Callithrix jacchus: one gene and its partner. The protein of the gene in region 1 purifies or fractionates together with the protein of each later gene. This does not show direct contact. Links are inferred from orthologs where the notes say so. Each region holds a gene or a part of one and is shown on either strand. Other genes may lie near its edges.

Region 1 (7,582 bases):
GTTAAAAAAAAATTCTAGGGTCCAAGAAAAATTCTCATATATTTTATGGTATGTGTAACTTAAAGACTGTGATATTTCTACTTGAAGAAACAGAGGTCCAAGAGAGAATGTTCAAAAATAAAGCTAAAGAAAAACCAGAAAATAGGGTGGGGGGACAGTAATGAAAAGGACAATCAATGTTAAATGTAGTAAGAAAAGCTTTTTGATACACTACTGTATAAGCATCCCTAGCTTAAATATATAATACACACACACACACACACACACACACACACACACACACACGAGACAATGTCTCAACTGTTGCCCAGGCTGGAGTTTAGTAGCAAGACCACAGCACACTGCAGCCTTGACCTCCCCGGTCTCCAGTAATTCCCCAACCTCAGCCCTTGAATTAGCTGGCAACCACAGGTGCACGCCACCACTCTGGCTGATTCTTGCATTGTTTGTAGAGAGGAGGCAAGGAGAATCACTTGAACCGGGAGGCAGAGATTGCAGTGAGCCAAGATCGTGCCATTGCACTCCAGCCTGGGTGACAGAGCAAGACTGCACCTCAAAATAAATATATAAATAAATAAAATAAACATGAAATAAAAAGTAGTAAGTCATTGGCCAAAAAAAAAAAAAAACAACAACAAAGAAATGCCCAATAATATGATGTATAACATATCCATATTTAACAATGTAATCCAAAATCAAATGGCAAATGCCAATAATGCAAAAACCACAGTTATTTCTGCAACAACCTTCTTAGACACAGTATTTTGCAAAACACGTACAAGGATATTCACTGACCTAATACTGCTGTTATATAAAAATAAGCAGGTTACATAAGTTACGGTGTATTTATCCCACAAAACACTATGAAGACATAAAAGATGCTTTAAGACAAAATATTTTCAATGTTCCCAATGTCTACAAACAAAAATAGATGGTAAGAAAATGAGCAAAACTAGAATATTTTCTAAAACAAAACCAAGAAAGACAAAGCCTTTTGTGTAATATATAACTACAGTTTAAACTGTAACTATCTTTTGGTGGAGGGAAGAAATTTTTGTATTCTTCTTTGGGCTTTTTAGTAATATCCAAATGTCCATGGATTATTTGGATTAGATAATAACAGTTTAAACTTTGATAGTGGAATTACGGATGCTTACTCCCTGGAAAGTTCAGTAATATACTGTTTGTTTTAGAAGGTCTTCTAAAAAACTGCTTCACCCCTCAACATTCCTATTTACAAAATATTTTCTACATGAGAAATTTTTAAATAGGCGGGGTGAGTACCACAAAAATATGCATTTTTTTTTTTTTTTTGAGACGGAGTTTCGCTCTTATTACCCAGGCTGGAGTGCAATGGTGCGATCTCGGCTCACCACAACCTCTGCCTCCTGGGTTCAGGCCATTCTCCTGCCTCAGCCTCCCGAGTAGCTGAGATTACAAGTGCCCACCACCACACCCAGCTAATTTTTTGTATTTTTAGTAGAGACGAGGTTTCAGTATGTTGGTCAGGCTAGTGTCGGACTCCTGATCTCAGGTGATACACCAGCCTCGGCCTCCCAAAGTGCTGGTATTACAGGTGTGAGCCACTGAAATAAGCATGTTTTATGATAAAAACATTAGGTACTTCGAAATCCAGAAATGAGAACCACATAAATGGGTAAAGGAATCCGTAAGGATGTCCTAATTTTGGGATTTCACTCTAAAATATTACATCAGGAAGCTAATTATATAGACTCATGTAAATCTGAATAAACAAAACATCTTTCAACTACTTTTCGTCCATTCTAGTATTCCTCTACTAATCCATAGAAAGTTTTTCTATGGTCCCCCGTAATTCTAAGGATTTTTAGAGACATTATGACTCACCTCAGTAATGCTTTGAGATATCTGCCACTGAGATGTTGTTTTCTTCAGCACAACTGCCAAAAACCCAGTAATTGTTAAGTCACGCAACCATTTTCTAGTCTTGAGCTCCACCAATATAGCAGTACGGTTTAAAACAGATATTCAGGGTAATTATTAGCATCTATCCAGTGTGACTAGGTCACTCACTAGAAATACCAACATACATTTCACTTTCTTAATGAATACTTTTGAGCAAAATCCCTGTTATAAATAAAAAACTGATTCTGCTAAGACGTTTTCTTACTGAGAAAATTTAGTCCACGTGGAAAACTGACGATATGTCACATTTAAAAAACCATTCCATTCTATAAAACTAGACAATTTATATTCCAATTTCACTATTTAAAAATATGTGTCTTTCACCGAACAAAGCACAAGATGTTAACAAAACGAGATCAACGTCTATCTTATCTGGGAGGTTCTTGTGTTTAAGATGTTTTCAGTCCTGCAAAATCACTGTTTCCTTTCAAAAAGTAGCATAAGCCTCATGCAGAGTGACACACACGCTTGTCTAAGGTCAGAGAAGCAGCGTCTGCGCTGGCAAGTAAACTGCTCAGCATGCAGAAAGCCAGCGCTTTCTCCAGTTTCCTCACAGCTTTATCGCGCGAGAAGCACGCGGAAAGCTCTCTCCAAGCAGGATGTTTTTAAGAACCACTTCTTCCCTGTCTTAAAAGGCTCCCACAGCTGGTGCTAAACAGGTGGAGAATACGGCAAGTCCCCGAAATGCATTTCCAAAGACAGGAAGAACTGCTCAGAGAGTGACAGAATCCAGAAAATCTCTCACATTCTCTAGAGCCCAAACGATCACATCCAAGAAAGAGGTTTCTCTCTCCTCTACCTCTCTCTCTTTCTCTGGGCGGGAGAGGAAGCCTCGCCCCCTTTCATCCCACCCCTTCTCCCCTCCCCGCCGCCAAGAACTGATTTTAAACCATGGCTGCCCGCGGCCCCCTTACTTCCGGTGCCGGTGCCGCTAGAGCTGCGCCATCCCCCCAAGTCAATCGGACAACCACAGCCTCCAACTGACCTTTTGACAGCTCTGCGGCTCCTCCGTCCAAAACTAGGTGCTGTCCTTGAGGGAACGGTGGATGGCTGCCGCAGAAAAACGAATCTGCCAGATGAAAACTCCGTTTCCTTCTCGCCAGAAAACTAAAATGCGATGGAGCTGCGGCCACCGCTGCCGAGACAAAATGGCGCCGGGAAGCTGGTTTGGCGCAGGCGCATAGGAAAGACACTGCCCCGCCCCCGTGCAAGCCCCTGGCTGCAATTCTGGGTTCCGTTTCCATGGGACACTCCGCCGCCAATCCTCGTGCCGAACTGCTCTTCCTGACCCCACAATTCACCAATCAGTGCACAGTCAAGCACATCCGGAGTCGTGTCTACCAATCAATTCTCAGAACTTGCTTACTCAATAACCAACTCTCCAATAACGTTGGTCTTCAGAAAAAACCAATCATAAGTGGAAGATGTCCTACCTGCTGTTTTTCGCACCAATCCATGAAGTTTCAGAGCTACATCCAATGGGGACGGCAGGTAGCGAGGGCCTATCCGAAGCTCTTCGGCGTCATGAGCAGCCAATAGGAGTTCGTGTAGAAGCGAGTCGGCTCAACAGCTTGTTATTTGGTGGATTGTGGCAGTAAATCGGGGCGAGTGGGGAACCGGGCGCAGGAACTGTCGCCGCAGCCGGGAGTGGTGCTGCCCGGACGGGGGCCCACGGAGGTCAGAGGGACGGAGGACTCTGGAGCTGACAGCGCGCACTTCACTCGCAGTTGGTAGGTGGGGAGAGGGGAATCGGGGGATACTGAATGGACCTAGCGGCAGTAGCAGCTGCTGCTGCTGCTGCCCAGGGTCCCGGTGCAGTTGGAAGGTTTGGAGGTGGGGAGAGGGATGCTAGGCAAGTGGTGCGGCTAGCGCAAGGGAAGGGGCCAGCCGTGGAGCAGTGGCAGCAACTGTGGGAACCGCCGCCGCCGCTGCAGCTGCCTCCTCGTCCGCTTCCCCGGGTTCCCGGGAAAATGGCTGTGGGGCTGGCTGCGCCGCTAAGTTTGCTTCCGCGCGGTAGAAGCGGGCTGCTTGGAGGAGCCGTCCCCCAACTCTGCGGTGCGTCCACCCCTGCGGAGTCCGTGGCAGGACTCGAGGGGCTGGGGGCTGATACCTCTCTGGGCTGTACAAAAAGTTGAGGCGGGCGCGGGGAGGAGGCGGCGGCTGCTGCGGTGCGGTTCCCCTCCCCTCCCACACCCTGTCCGGGCCACCTCCCCTCCTCCTCCTCTCCGCCCCCGCCCCCTCCCCCGCGCAGTTCTCCCGGGGCTCTGGAGGCTCCCGACTGAAGGCCGCGGCCCCTGCCCCTTCGGGTGAAGGAGCGCTTCTCCTTCCTGACATGGTGCAGAACGAAGGAACGAGAGCAATGGCGCCGTGACACTCCGCTGCCGCCACCGCGGGCCCGGGGCGGGCCAAGGGGGCCGAGCGGCGGAGGCGGGGCGCGGGCCGAAGTCGGGGTATCCGGGGGACAGCGGAGCGTAGGCTTGGCGGTCGCCTCCGCGGGGGACCTGGGGAAGCCCGAACGGCGCCTTGCCCTTTTCCCGAGCTATCTGTCCTGGGGCTCCGAGTTGAGCATTCCGGGTCCGAGTGGCCATCGAGGCGGGGGCGCGGTGGGCCGCTGGCGAGCTCCGGGGCGGAACGAGCTGCCCTTTGGCGCGCTGGGGTTCTAGCTGCCCCTTCAGATCCTGCGTCCGCCCTTGGAGAGGGGTCTTGTCCCTTGACCGGTGAGAATTCTGCCCCGCCCGCTGGCGTTTGTTTACTTTCTTTCCCTTGGTCGCTCCCCGCAGTTGACTGATTCTGTGCCGGTCTTTCTCCCTCCCCGTAGTTCTAGCGACTGCAAAGATAGCTCGCTGAGCTGGAACCCCACAGATCACCAACAAAAATGAAGGTAAGTGGAGTCAACGCTGCCCCTATCCTCGTGCCCTGGACACTGCCAGTTGTGAGACTAGTGCCGTGGAATGTCATTTGTTTGCTACTCAAAATTGATGTCCCTGCTGAGCAGCAGTTTCGGCAAAGGAGGATGTGTTGAATGGGTGAGAAATGATCTGTGTGTCTAAATGCGGAGTTTGGGCCCTCTCTGTAGCAGCCTTTCAGTTGTTGTCCATTAGGATAGTATTTTTAAACACTTCCTGTGTTGGCAGCAACCTTTGCAGAAGTAAAGCTTTTGTCCTGCTTTGGTTCTTTGGGGGATTTTTTGAAAATTTTTTTCTTCCCCAGTGCCAATGTGATTTTCTAAGAGAAAGAATACATGGATTAAGTAATGAAGGTATCATTTCTTCTGTGTGTTTAGTGAATTCATGTGGATAAAATATTTGAAGTTGAACTATATTATAGTTTTAGTTAAATCTGTACAGTAAATATTTTAAAACATATTCTGACCCTAAAAAGATATATATTCTACTGAGAATGACTGCAAATAACAGTATGTGGATGGTTAAAGGGAAAGGATCTCATATAACATTCTTGAATGCTGTGGCCATTGAACGTTTCAGGTCAGATTTTTATTTGCCAAAAGCGTTCCTATTCAATTTGTATTTCTTGTAAATGCACTTACTTTAAAAGGTACCTAGTTCCTATCTTATTTACTGTTTCAGTGTATTAAGCTCTGAAACACAGCATTTTCCCAAACTTTCTCCTGGTTTTCTATTTTCTCGAAGTAAATGATGTATTTAACTTTCTTTAATATTACTTGGGAAAACTTATTGGAAAACAAAAATAAAAACATTTTCTACTTAAAAATGTATCTCCAAAGTATACATTGTTACCTTTGCATTTAACAATGTTAAGTTGAACTTGTATGGTTACACTTTAACTTCTGGGAAGAAAAAAAAGGTAAAATGACAGATTGAGATAACAATCATCCTGTTACCATCAAGATTAAAATAAGTGGTAGAGTGAAATTTCTCACATCTTTCGATGTATCATTCTGATCATGTCCGTTTGCTAAACGTAGATATTTATTAGTAATGCTTATATATTTATACCAAGAAGATTAGTGGGGTAAACTAGGTATGTCTACGAGTCTTGAGCCATGGGTTCATATCTGCATTCATTGGCTGAATTGAAACTTAAAACCTTTCAAATGCAGCTTTTAGCCAATGAATTTTCCAAATTATACTCTCCTTATGAAAAGATGTTATCTTTACATAGCTATGTCAATGAACAATTATGTATTTTTAGTGTTAGTTTTAGTAGCAATATTTATTTTAATTTGAAATTTAATTTTATTTATTAAAATTTTTAATAATTCTATAATAAAAAATTTATTTTCAGGAGGATATAAATGAATAACTTAATTTTATGATATGTGTAATATGAAATATTTTCCTGCCATTTCTTATTTTTCTGCTTATATAAATAGTAGAATTTTTTAAAAATTTTGTATCTGGAGAAAAACATTGTATTTCGTCACCGATAATTTTGAATTACAACTTTAAAACATTTTATCGCATAAGGACATCAGTATGTAAAATAAAGAGTTGCTGATCAAGTGTTTGCTTTAGGGTATTTTTCAAATTTTCAGTGATACTAGTAAGTTATTTTAATATTCTTAATGCTTCAAACACAATCTTTTAATGACACTCGAGGTTGGAGCAGGGAGACATAGTAATGACATTCACAGTTTATGTTCTTTTCACCAGGCGGCGGATGAGCCTGCCTACCTGACAGTGGGAACTGATGTCAGTGCCAAGTACCGAGGTGCCTTCTGTGAGGCAAAGATTAAGACTGTGAAAAGGCTGGTGAAAGTTAAGGTAATATTTGTTTTTATGCAATAGTTTTATTAACTCTAGATTGAAGAAAGTTGGGGAGAGACTGCAAATCAGGATTTTATTGAGTCATTATATAAAGATACTTTATATACTAAACTTACAGGAAAAGCACATTAAAAATTGAGAAATAAAGAACTTGGCTGGTGGCTCACGCCTGTAATCCCAACACTTTGGGAGGCTGAAGCCAGCAGATCACGAGGTCAAGATATCAAGACTATCCTGGCCAACATGGTGAAACCCTGTCTCTACTAAAAATACAAAAAAATTAGCTAGGCGTCGTGCCTGTGCCTGTAGTCTCAGCTACTTGAGACTGAGGCAGGAGAATCGCTGGAACCTGGGTGGAGGAGGTTGCAGTGAGCCAAGATCACACAACTGCACTCTAGTCTGGTGACAGAGCGAGACTCCCATCTCAAAAAAAAAAAAAAAAATAGCTAGGTGTGGTGGCTCATGCCTGTAATCCCAGCACTTGGGAGGTGGAGTTCGAGACCAGCCAGACCAACATGGAGAAACCATTTCCCTACTAAAAATACAAAATTAGCCAGCATGGTGGCGCATGTCTGTAATCTCAGCTACTTGGGGGGCTGAGGCAGGAGAATCTCTTGAACCTGGGAGGTGTAGGTTGCGGTGAGCCAACAATGCCATTACACTCCAGCCTGGCTGACGAGTGAAACTCCAGCTCCAAAAAAAAAACCCTCAAAAAGGGAAATTATTCCAAAATGCTACCACCAACAAAATGCTACCACTAAAATACCATGCTAATGATATTTTCTGTCATTTGGATCTTAACTATTTGTGGAAGCATACTTGGACTGTAATCTATTTTCTTTCCTTTTATAATGTTCAGGTAGAGACAATTTCAGTGTTTAAGACAATAC
Region 2 (7,832 bases), on another chromosome or scaffold:
TGGCAACGCCAACCTCCTCGGACCCGGGGAAAAGAGAAGCCGCGGGAGGAAAGGAGCGTTTTGATTTCCTTTCAGCCGGGAGCCCGCGCCATCCTTCACCATGCTGCAGCCGAGCTCTGCCGCGGGTTCCTCAGAGTCCGGCCGAGCGCGCCAGACGTTCAGGGCGCGCTCGGTCCGGGGTGCGCGCGCCGGCGGGGAAGAAGGAGCGCGCGTCCCGGGAAGCCGGCGGGGCCCGGGCGGGCGGGACATCTGCACCGCGCGCGGCCGGGCGGTGAGGCCGTGGCTCCTCCCCCCTCGCAGGGGGCGAGCTGGCGCTTCTGGGGCTGGGGGCGGTGGCAGGCGGCGGGCGGGGCGGTGCGCGGGGCTCGGCTAGCCTCGGCTCGTCTCGGCTGCGCTCGGCAGGCTGCGGTAAATCCGGGCTTGCGGCGGTTGGCGTAGTCTGTGGCCGGTGGTCTTTGCTGCGCGCCCCGAGCCCGGAGAACCATGCAGATGTCCTACGCCATCCGGTGCGCCTTCTACCAGCTGCTGCTGGCCGCGCTCATGCTGGTGGCGATGCTGCAGCTGCTCTACCTGTCGCTGCTGTCCGGACTACATGGGCAGGAGGAGCAAGACCAATATTTTGAGTTCTTTCCCCCGTCCCCACGGTCCGTGGACCAGGTCAAGGCCCAGCTCCGCACAGCGCTGGCCTCCGGAGGCGTCCTGGACGCCAGCGGCGATTACCGCGTCTACAGGGGCCTGCTGAAGACGACCCTGGACCCCAACGATGTGATCCTGGCCACGCACGCCAGCGTGGACAACCTGCTGCACCTGTCGGGTCTGCTGGAGCGCTGGGAGGGCCCGCTGTCCGTGTCGGTGTTCGCGGCCACCAAGGAGGAGGCGCAGCTGGCCACGGTGCTGGCCTACGCGCTAAGCAGCCACTGTCCCGACATGCGCGCCAGGGTTGCCATGCACCTCGTGTGCCCCTCGCGTTACGAGGCAGCTGTGCCTGACCCCCGGGAGCCAGGGGAGTTTGCCCTGCTGCGGTCCTGTCAGGAGGTCTTTGACAAGCTAGCCAGGGTGGCACAGCCCGGGATTAATTATGCGCTAGGCACCAATGTCTCCTACCCTAATAATCTGCTGAGGAATTTGGCTCGTGAGGGGGCCAACTATGCCCTGGTGATCGATGTGGACATGGTGCCCAGCGAGGGACTGTGGAGAGGCCTGCGGGAAATGCTGGATCAGAGCAACCAGTGGGGAGGCACCGCGCTCGTCGTGCCTGCCTTCGAGATCCGACGAGCCCGCCGCATGCCCATGAACAAAAACGAGCTGGTGCAGCTCTACCAGGTGGGCGAGGTTCGGCCCTTCTATTATGGGCTGTGCACCCCCTGCCAGGCACCCACCAATTATTCCCGTTGGGTCAACCTGCCAGAAGAGAGCCTGCTGCGGCCTGCCTACGTGGTGCCTTGGCAGGACCCCTGGGAGCCATTCTACGTGGCAGGAGGCAAGGTGCCCACCTTTGACGAGCGCTTTCGGCAGTACGGCTTCAACCGAATCAGCCAGGTGCTCATAAGGGAGAGGGCAGGGGTTGGGGCAGGAGGGGTGGTGGGATCAGGGAGTTACGAGGAGTGGCCCTGGATGGAAAAGAGGCAGTGAAGCAGGAGGGATCATAGTTTAGTAGGTGAGTGGATAGTATGGAAGATCCAGGATGCTTCCAGAGGGGTGAGGATGCTGGACTGTGGCTTGAGGGAAGTCAGTCTCAGCCCTGTAAATGTCATCAAATTTTGCTGACCCGTCTTTCCCCCTACAGGCCTGCGAGCTGCACATGGTGGGGTTTGATTTTGAGGTCCTGAACGAAGGTTTCTTGGTTCATAAGGGCTTCAAAGAAGCGTTGAAGTTCCATCCCCAAAAGGAGGCTGAAAATCAGCACAATAAGATCCTTTATCGCCAGTTCAAACAGGAGTTGAAGGCCAAGTACCCCAACTCTCCCCGACGCTGCTGAGCCCTTCCCTCCCCTGGTCTGAGAAGTTAGCCTCTTGGCTCCTCAGGCCACCCTTAGGCCTGACTGGGGTAAGAAATGTGACTCTACTTTACAGAGGTAGCTGTGGTGTTGAAACACTGGACTTGAATATGGGGTGCTGGGATTTAGTCCTAGCTTTACCACTAACTAGCTGTGTGGCCTTGAGTAAATCCCGTTACCTCTCTGGGCCTCAGTTACCCTGTCTGTAAAAAGGGAGGTGAAAATACCTACCTCACAGAACTGTTGGGAGGCTCAGATGAGACGCTATATGTGAAAACATTCTGTAAGCTTCGTACAAATGTGAAGTATTAATATTATCACAGTATTATTATTATTGTTATTAACAATCTTGGGTGGGTAGGAGAGCAAAAAGTATGAATGGGATGGAGCTAAGAAGGCTGAGTACTTAATGAAATGGACTTTTTGGAAAGAAATCAGATGAAGGCATAAAATTTAGTTCTTAGCTCTTGGGCAGAAGCCTAAAATTCCTGGTTCTCTCAGGCCTTCGGCCTCAGGAGCTCTGAAGGAGGGCAGGGTCTGCAGGCCCCATGGGTGACAGCCTCAGATCTGTCCCTTCAACAGGCCGGGCTGAGTATGTGCCTACCGATGACAATGTGTAAATAAATGAGTGTTCACACCCACAGCTGGCTCCGTTACTCTCTTGAGCTGGGGGTGGAGGGATCGGGGCCGGGTTCTCCCCTTGCACACGGTGGGGAGGTGGCCACGGACGAAGGTCGCCGCCTGCAAAGCACTGAAACCTCAGGGCCTTCCTTGCAGGCCAAAGGCCTGCGTGAACGTCGGCCGGTTGCTATGGAGACCGGCCCGCGGTATCCCAGCATGCCTCGGGACCCAACTGTCCAATTGTGAACACCGTCGACGGTCGCGTCCTGATGAAGCACACGGAAGCACCGAGGCTCTGCCTCCTCGAGAAGAGGGAGCCGCGCAGGTCTTACGGGAGGCCGGCGGCAGCAGCCGGTACCGGCAACCACGGGCACCTCTCAGGGAATCTCGGTCGTGAGGCCAGAGGCCCCAGTCCCCGCGGTGCGTATCGCCATGCATGGCTTTTGTTCAGCCTCTCGGGTTAGTCCAGCAGAGCCGGCACAATCTCCTCCTCCGAGCCCGAAGCAGCGATTTAACCGACCTGACGCGTGCTGGGCCGCGGGCCAGCCAGGAATGTTCCGGCCCGTGCCGGCTCATCTAGAAGGGAGCAGGAGGCTCCCTGGGCGCTGCGGAAAAGTTGGGTTGACCTGTGTGAGAGTGGGGAGGGTCTGCCTTCCCTGGGCGCCTGCCCCGGAGGAGCTGCCATTCTGAAAAGATAAATTGCCTGTGTACAGCGCTTTACAATGTGCTTTTCCATCCCTTACCACCTGCGAGCTCTTCAACACTCAGAGTAGGAATAGTTACCTGTTTTTTGCACCCGGGGCAAGGAGGGAAGGTTGTGACTTAACTCACTTATAATCAGAACCAGCGGGAGGAGAGAAAGGCTTCTGGAAGAGATAGGACTTACGCTGCGTCTTACAAAGTGAATATACTAACAGTGAAGAGGCATTGCAAATGTTGGGAACTGGCTTGGAGAACTGAGCTTTTCAGGTCAGGTTGAGGTCATTAGTGAAATTGTTGAGGAATGTGAACGCTCACCTAGGCCAGCCTTACAATGCACAACTTGAATCGGTGTCAAGGACAGTTTGCTACCATTACAGGGACCTGGGACTACCAAAAAGTAAAAGCTAATCTCTGCCTCACAATTTTGTTGTTGTTGTTGTTGTTGTTAAATTTGTATTTGCAAATCCTCCAGTCATCAAGTGAGCTAGTACTATGCTAGGCAAATAAGACGCATGTGCAGCCCCTGCCCTAATGAGGCTCATAGGCTGATTGGGAGGACAGACGGGAGAATGGGCAAATAGGAGATATAAATAAAGCTTCCTGGAGGGAGTGCTGTCTGCACTGTTCTAAAGGACTACAAAGCAGTGTCCAGAGAAGCTGGAAGAATATCACAGCGAAATAGAACCTGCAGGGGGCCGAGAGCTTATCTGCTGAGAGGACTGGTTATTCTTCCTTTTGGGTGATCTCTTGGCAGTACTTGGCACTATCGGTACAATTACTGCTGGGAAGTACTTGGCTTCCTTCTGAAATTCTTTCTCCAAGACTTCGGGTTTGCCTCTGCCTTTGTAGGAGTCTCCTCATCTGCCTCTTTGGTGACCCTGGGAGTCCCATTGTGGATGTCTTCTGACCACACACATTCTGCCTTGATACTTGCACCTTCTCCTGTGGCATGAAGAACTTGCTGTAGGCCGATGACCAAACCTCTGCAGCTCAGATTTCTCACTGAGATTTAGACCCATGTACCCCAGCTGCTTTCCTTCTCTTATTCTGGGTCTTTGCTACTAACTCGATCTGGAATATTCCCTCACTCAATCAGCACAGCTCACCCAGCTGGTCCATCTTCATCTAGAAGCCCTCCCTACTGCATCAGGCTTCAGGTCCTGGTTACATACCCCTCCCTTATACCCTGGTCTTAACTCTCCTCATACCAGAGTTATAGTCTGCTCCTTTGCCCCTGTCTCCCAAGAACTTGTAAACTCCGTGAGGTCAAAGACAGTCACACTTGGGGCCCCTGCATACCATAGTGCCTGACAGTACCTAGCATATATTAGATGTTCAATACATGTTAGATGAGTCAGTAAAAGAATGCTTACCAGTGTTCAGTGTTGCCGAGCAGACAATTGAAATAAGCACTGAAAAATATTGTCATTACCCATAAGGAAGTCACTGGTTAATGGTACAGGATCAGTTTCAGCTGAGATCGATGGGTACAGAAACACATCGAACAAGTGGAAGGTGAAACTAGGAACAGCCAGTGTGCATGAAACCTTGAAAAGTATAACTGAACTGGCAGACAGGGAGCAGTCAGGTGGAAGGGTGAGGTTTTGTGTTTCTGTGTTTTGTTAATGGTAGAAAATACTCAAGCACATTGAAAGTTTCATGGGAAGGAGGTTGCTAAGAGGGAGAAGCTGAAGACACAAAAGAGAGAGGGGAGCACTGATGACCTGAGGTCCTAGAGGAGGCAGAAGGAAATGGGATTTGACCCAGAGCACAGTGAAAGACAAGGGGATTGTAATGGTATCCAGAAGAGAAGCTGAGGGCATTATAGGGAGAAGGAACAGCTGAGGCAGAGGGCAGAAAGTGAAAGTGCAAGCACTGGCCGTTAGATGGTGGGATGAAGGAGCTGGACCGGGAGGGCAAGTGCAGTCTGTGAAAGACCTTGAAAGCCCCGGTCAGAAATGTAGATCCAGTTCAGATATGGTGGCACACACCTGTAATCCCAGCTACTCAGGAGGCTGAGCCAGGAGAATTGCTTGAACCCAGGAGGTGGAGGTTGCAGTGAGCCGAACTCATGCCACTCTAGCCTGGTGACAGAGTGAGACTCTGTCTCAAAAAAAAAGAATGAAAATTGGCTGGGTGTGGTGGCTCATGCCTGTAATCCTAGCACTTTGGAAGGCTGAGGTGGGCGAATCACAAGATCAGGAGTTGGAAACCAGCCTGGCCAACATGGTGAGATCCTGTCTCTACTAAAAATACAAAAAATTAACTGGGCATAGTGGCAGGCACCTGTAATCTTAGCTACTTGGGAGGCTGAGGCAGGAGAATCACTTGAACCCAGGAGGTGGAGGTTGCAGTGAGCCGAGATCGCGGCACTCACTCCAGCCTGGGCGACAGAGCGAGACTGTCTCAAAAAGAGAAAATAAAAATTTAGGTCCAGTTCCATAGGCAGTGGAGAGTGCCCCCTAGGCCTTTCCTTTCTGTGGATCACAGCCTTGGCCAGTATTCCCAGGATTAGGATCACCAGTGACATCCAAGAGCAGGAGCATTTCCACAGCTCCCAGGCTTCTGTGAGAGGTGCAGATGGCCATTTGCACCCTTATTACCCAGTATGTGCTCAAGGTGTGGCCAGGCCAGTCACTTCCTGGCTGTCCCAATCTGGGGTCTGGTCGGGTTCAGCTCCCCACTGCCTCTTTCCCCCTCTGAACAGAGGGCAGCTGTGAGTGATGGCTTCATTCCTTCTCCCAGAGTCCAGATGCCTGTCCAGCCTCCAAGCAAAGACACAGAAGAGATGGAAGCAGAGGGTGATTCGGCTGCTGAGATGAATGGGGAGGAGGAAGAGAGTGAGGAGGAGCGGAGCGGCAGCCAGACGGAGTCAGAAGAGGAGAGCTCTGGTGAGCCCCTGCACACACACACACACACACACACAGCCCCTACACACAAGCATGCATGTACACGCACGCACAGCCCCTACACACAGCCCCTACACACAAGCACACACCACCCCTCCACATAAGCACGCATGCACACACCACCCCTCCACATAAGCACGCATGCACACACAGCTCCTACATGCACACATGCACACACAGCTCCTACACACACACACACATGCACACACAACCCCTACACACATGCACACACAGCCCCTACTCACAAGCACACATGCACACAGCTCCTACACACAACACACAGCCCCTACACACAAGCACACACGCAAACACAGCCCCTACACACAAGCACACACACATGCACGTGCATATATAGCCCCTACACACAAGCACACATGCACACACAGCCTCTACACATAAGCACACACAGCCCTTACACAAATACACAGCTCCCACACACGCACACATGCATACACAGCCCCTGTGCACAGGCACACATGCACGTGCACAGATAGCCCCTACACACGAGCACACATGCACATGCACACACCACCCCTACACAGAAGCACACACGCACACACAGCCCCTACACACATGCACACACACACAGCCTCTACACACAAGCACACATGCACACAACCTCTACACACAAGTACACATGCACACCCACACAGCCTCTACACACAAGCACGCACACACACATAGCCTCTACAAACAAGCACACACATACACAGCCTCCACAAAGTACACATGCACACACACACAGCCTCTGCACACAAGCATGCACACATATACACAAACAGCCTCTACACACAAGCACACATGCACACAGCGTCTACACACAAACACACACACAAGATTGCACCAGCTTGCTTTACAACATGCTTCAGGGGGAGCTGCAAGAGCAGAGCCAGAGACTGGAGGAGGACTGCCAGAGCCTGGACGCGCGCGCACACACACACACACACACAAGCACGCACATGCACACACAGCCCCTACACACGCATGCAGATGCACACACACGTGGGTATCCACCACGCCTCTCCAGAGCTACCCCTTACTGGCCTCTTGTCCAGAGATGGATGATGAGGACTATGAGCGGCGCCGCTGTGAGTGTGTCAGTGAGATGCTGGACCTAGAGAAGCAGTTCTCGGAGCTAAAGGAGAAGTGAGTGTGGGAATACCTTGGGCTGGGTCTGCGAGGATATGGGATGAGGAGGTGGCGGGCCTGGAACTGGGCAGGCATGGCTGGTGCCCAGGGAGTGCACGCCTGACATGGGTCTTGCTGTGCAATGGGTGCTGGGTATGTGTTTGTCCAAGAGCGATGGGTGAGCAAATGGGCTCACTGCTGCCTTCTCCCCACCCAGGCTGTTCAGGGAACGACTGAGTCAGCTGCGGTTGCGGCTGGAGGAAGTGGGGGCTGAGAGAGCCCCTGAATACACAGAGCCACTTGGGGGGCTGCAGCGGAGCCTCAAGATTCGCATTCAGGTGGCAGGTCTGTGGGTGGTTCTGTGCCCTATTCTCCTCCCAGAACCCATGGCACCCTGTCCCCTTCCTTTCTCGTTCCTGCCCAGCCTCACCCTTTGCTCTCAGCCCTCCTTTGTGGGCACTGGGCTCCCTAGACAA

What was found.
Region 2: the proteins of ARID4A (region 1) and BRMS1 purify together in Homo sapiens (affinity purification with western blotting; 3 studies listed by BioGRID and IntAct, with this or other methods). This does not show direct contact. The link is inferred for Callithrix jacchus from reciprocal best matches to the Homo sapiens genes ARID4A and BRMS1.

The regions. Positions count from the first base shown.
Region 1 is NC_133509.1:92,948,677-92,956,258, forward strand, and holds the start of ARID4A (AT-rich interactive domain-containing protein 4A), read left to right. Parts: upstream 1-3,517; 5' UTR 3,518-3,674; intron 3,675-4,191; exon of another isoform or gene 4,192-4,661; intron 4,662-4,762; 5' UTR 4,763-4,819; coding exon 4,820-4,825; intron 4,826-6,578; coding exon 6,579-6,689; intron 6,690-7,582. Other genes in the region: uncharacterized protein LOC100895059, read right to left, coding at 1,867-1,919, 2,930-3,188.
Region 2 is NC_133511.1:123,420,280-123,428,111, reverse strand, and holds the start of BRMS1 (breast cancer metastasis-suppressor 1), read left to right. Parts: upstream 1-2,906; 5' UTR 2,907-3,037; intron 3,038-4,744; exon of another isoform or gene 4,745-6,064; 5' UTR 6,065-6,071; coding exon 6,072-6,210; exon of another isoform or gene 6,211-7,283; coding exon 7,284-7,374; exon of another isoform or gene 7,375-7,573; coding exon 7,574-7,701; exon of another isoform or gene 7,702-7,832. Other genes in the region: uncharacterized protein LOC118145537, read right to left, coding at 1-249; B4GAT1 (beta-1,4-glucuronyltransferase 1), read left to right, coding at 484-1,539, 1,787-1,978. UniProt on the Homo sapiens protein: Transcriptional repressor. Down-regulates transcription activation by NF-kappa-B by promoting the deacetylation of RELA at 'Lys-310'. Promotes HDAC1 binding to promoter regions.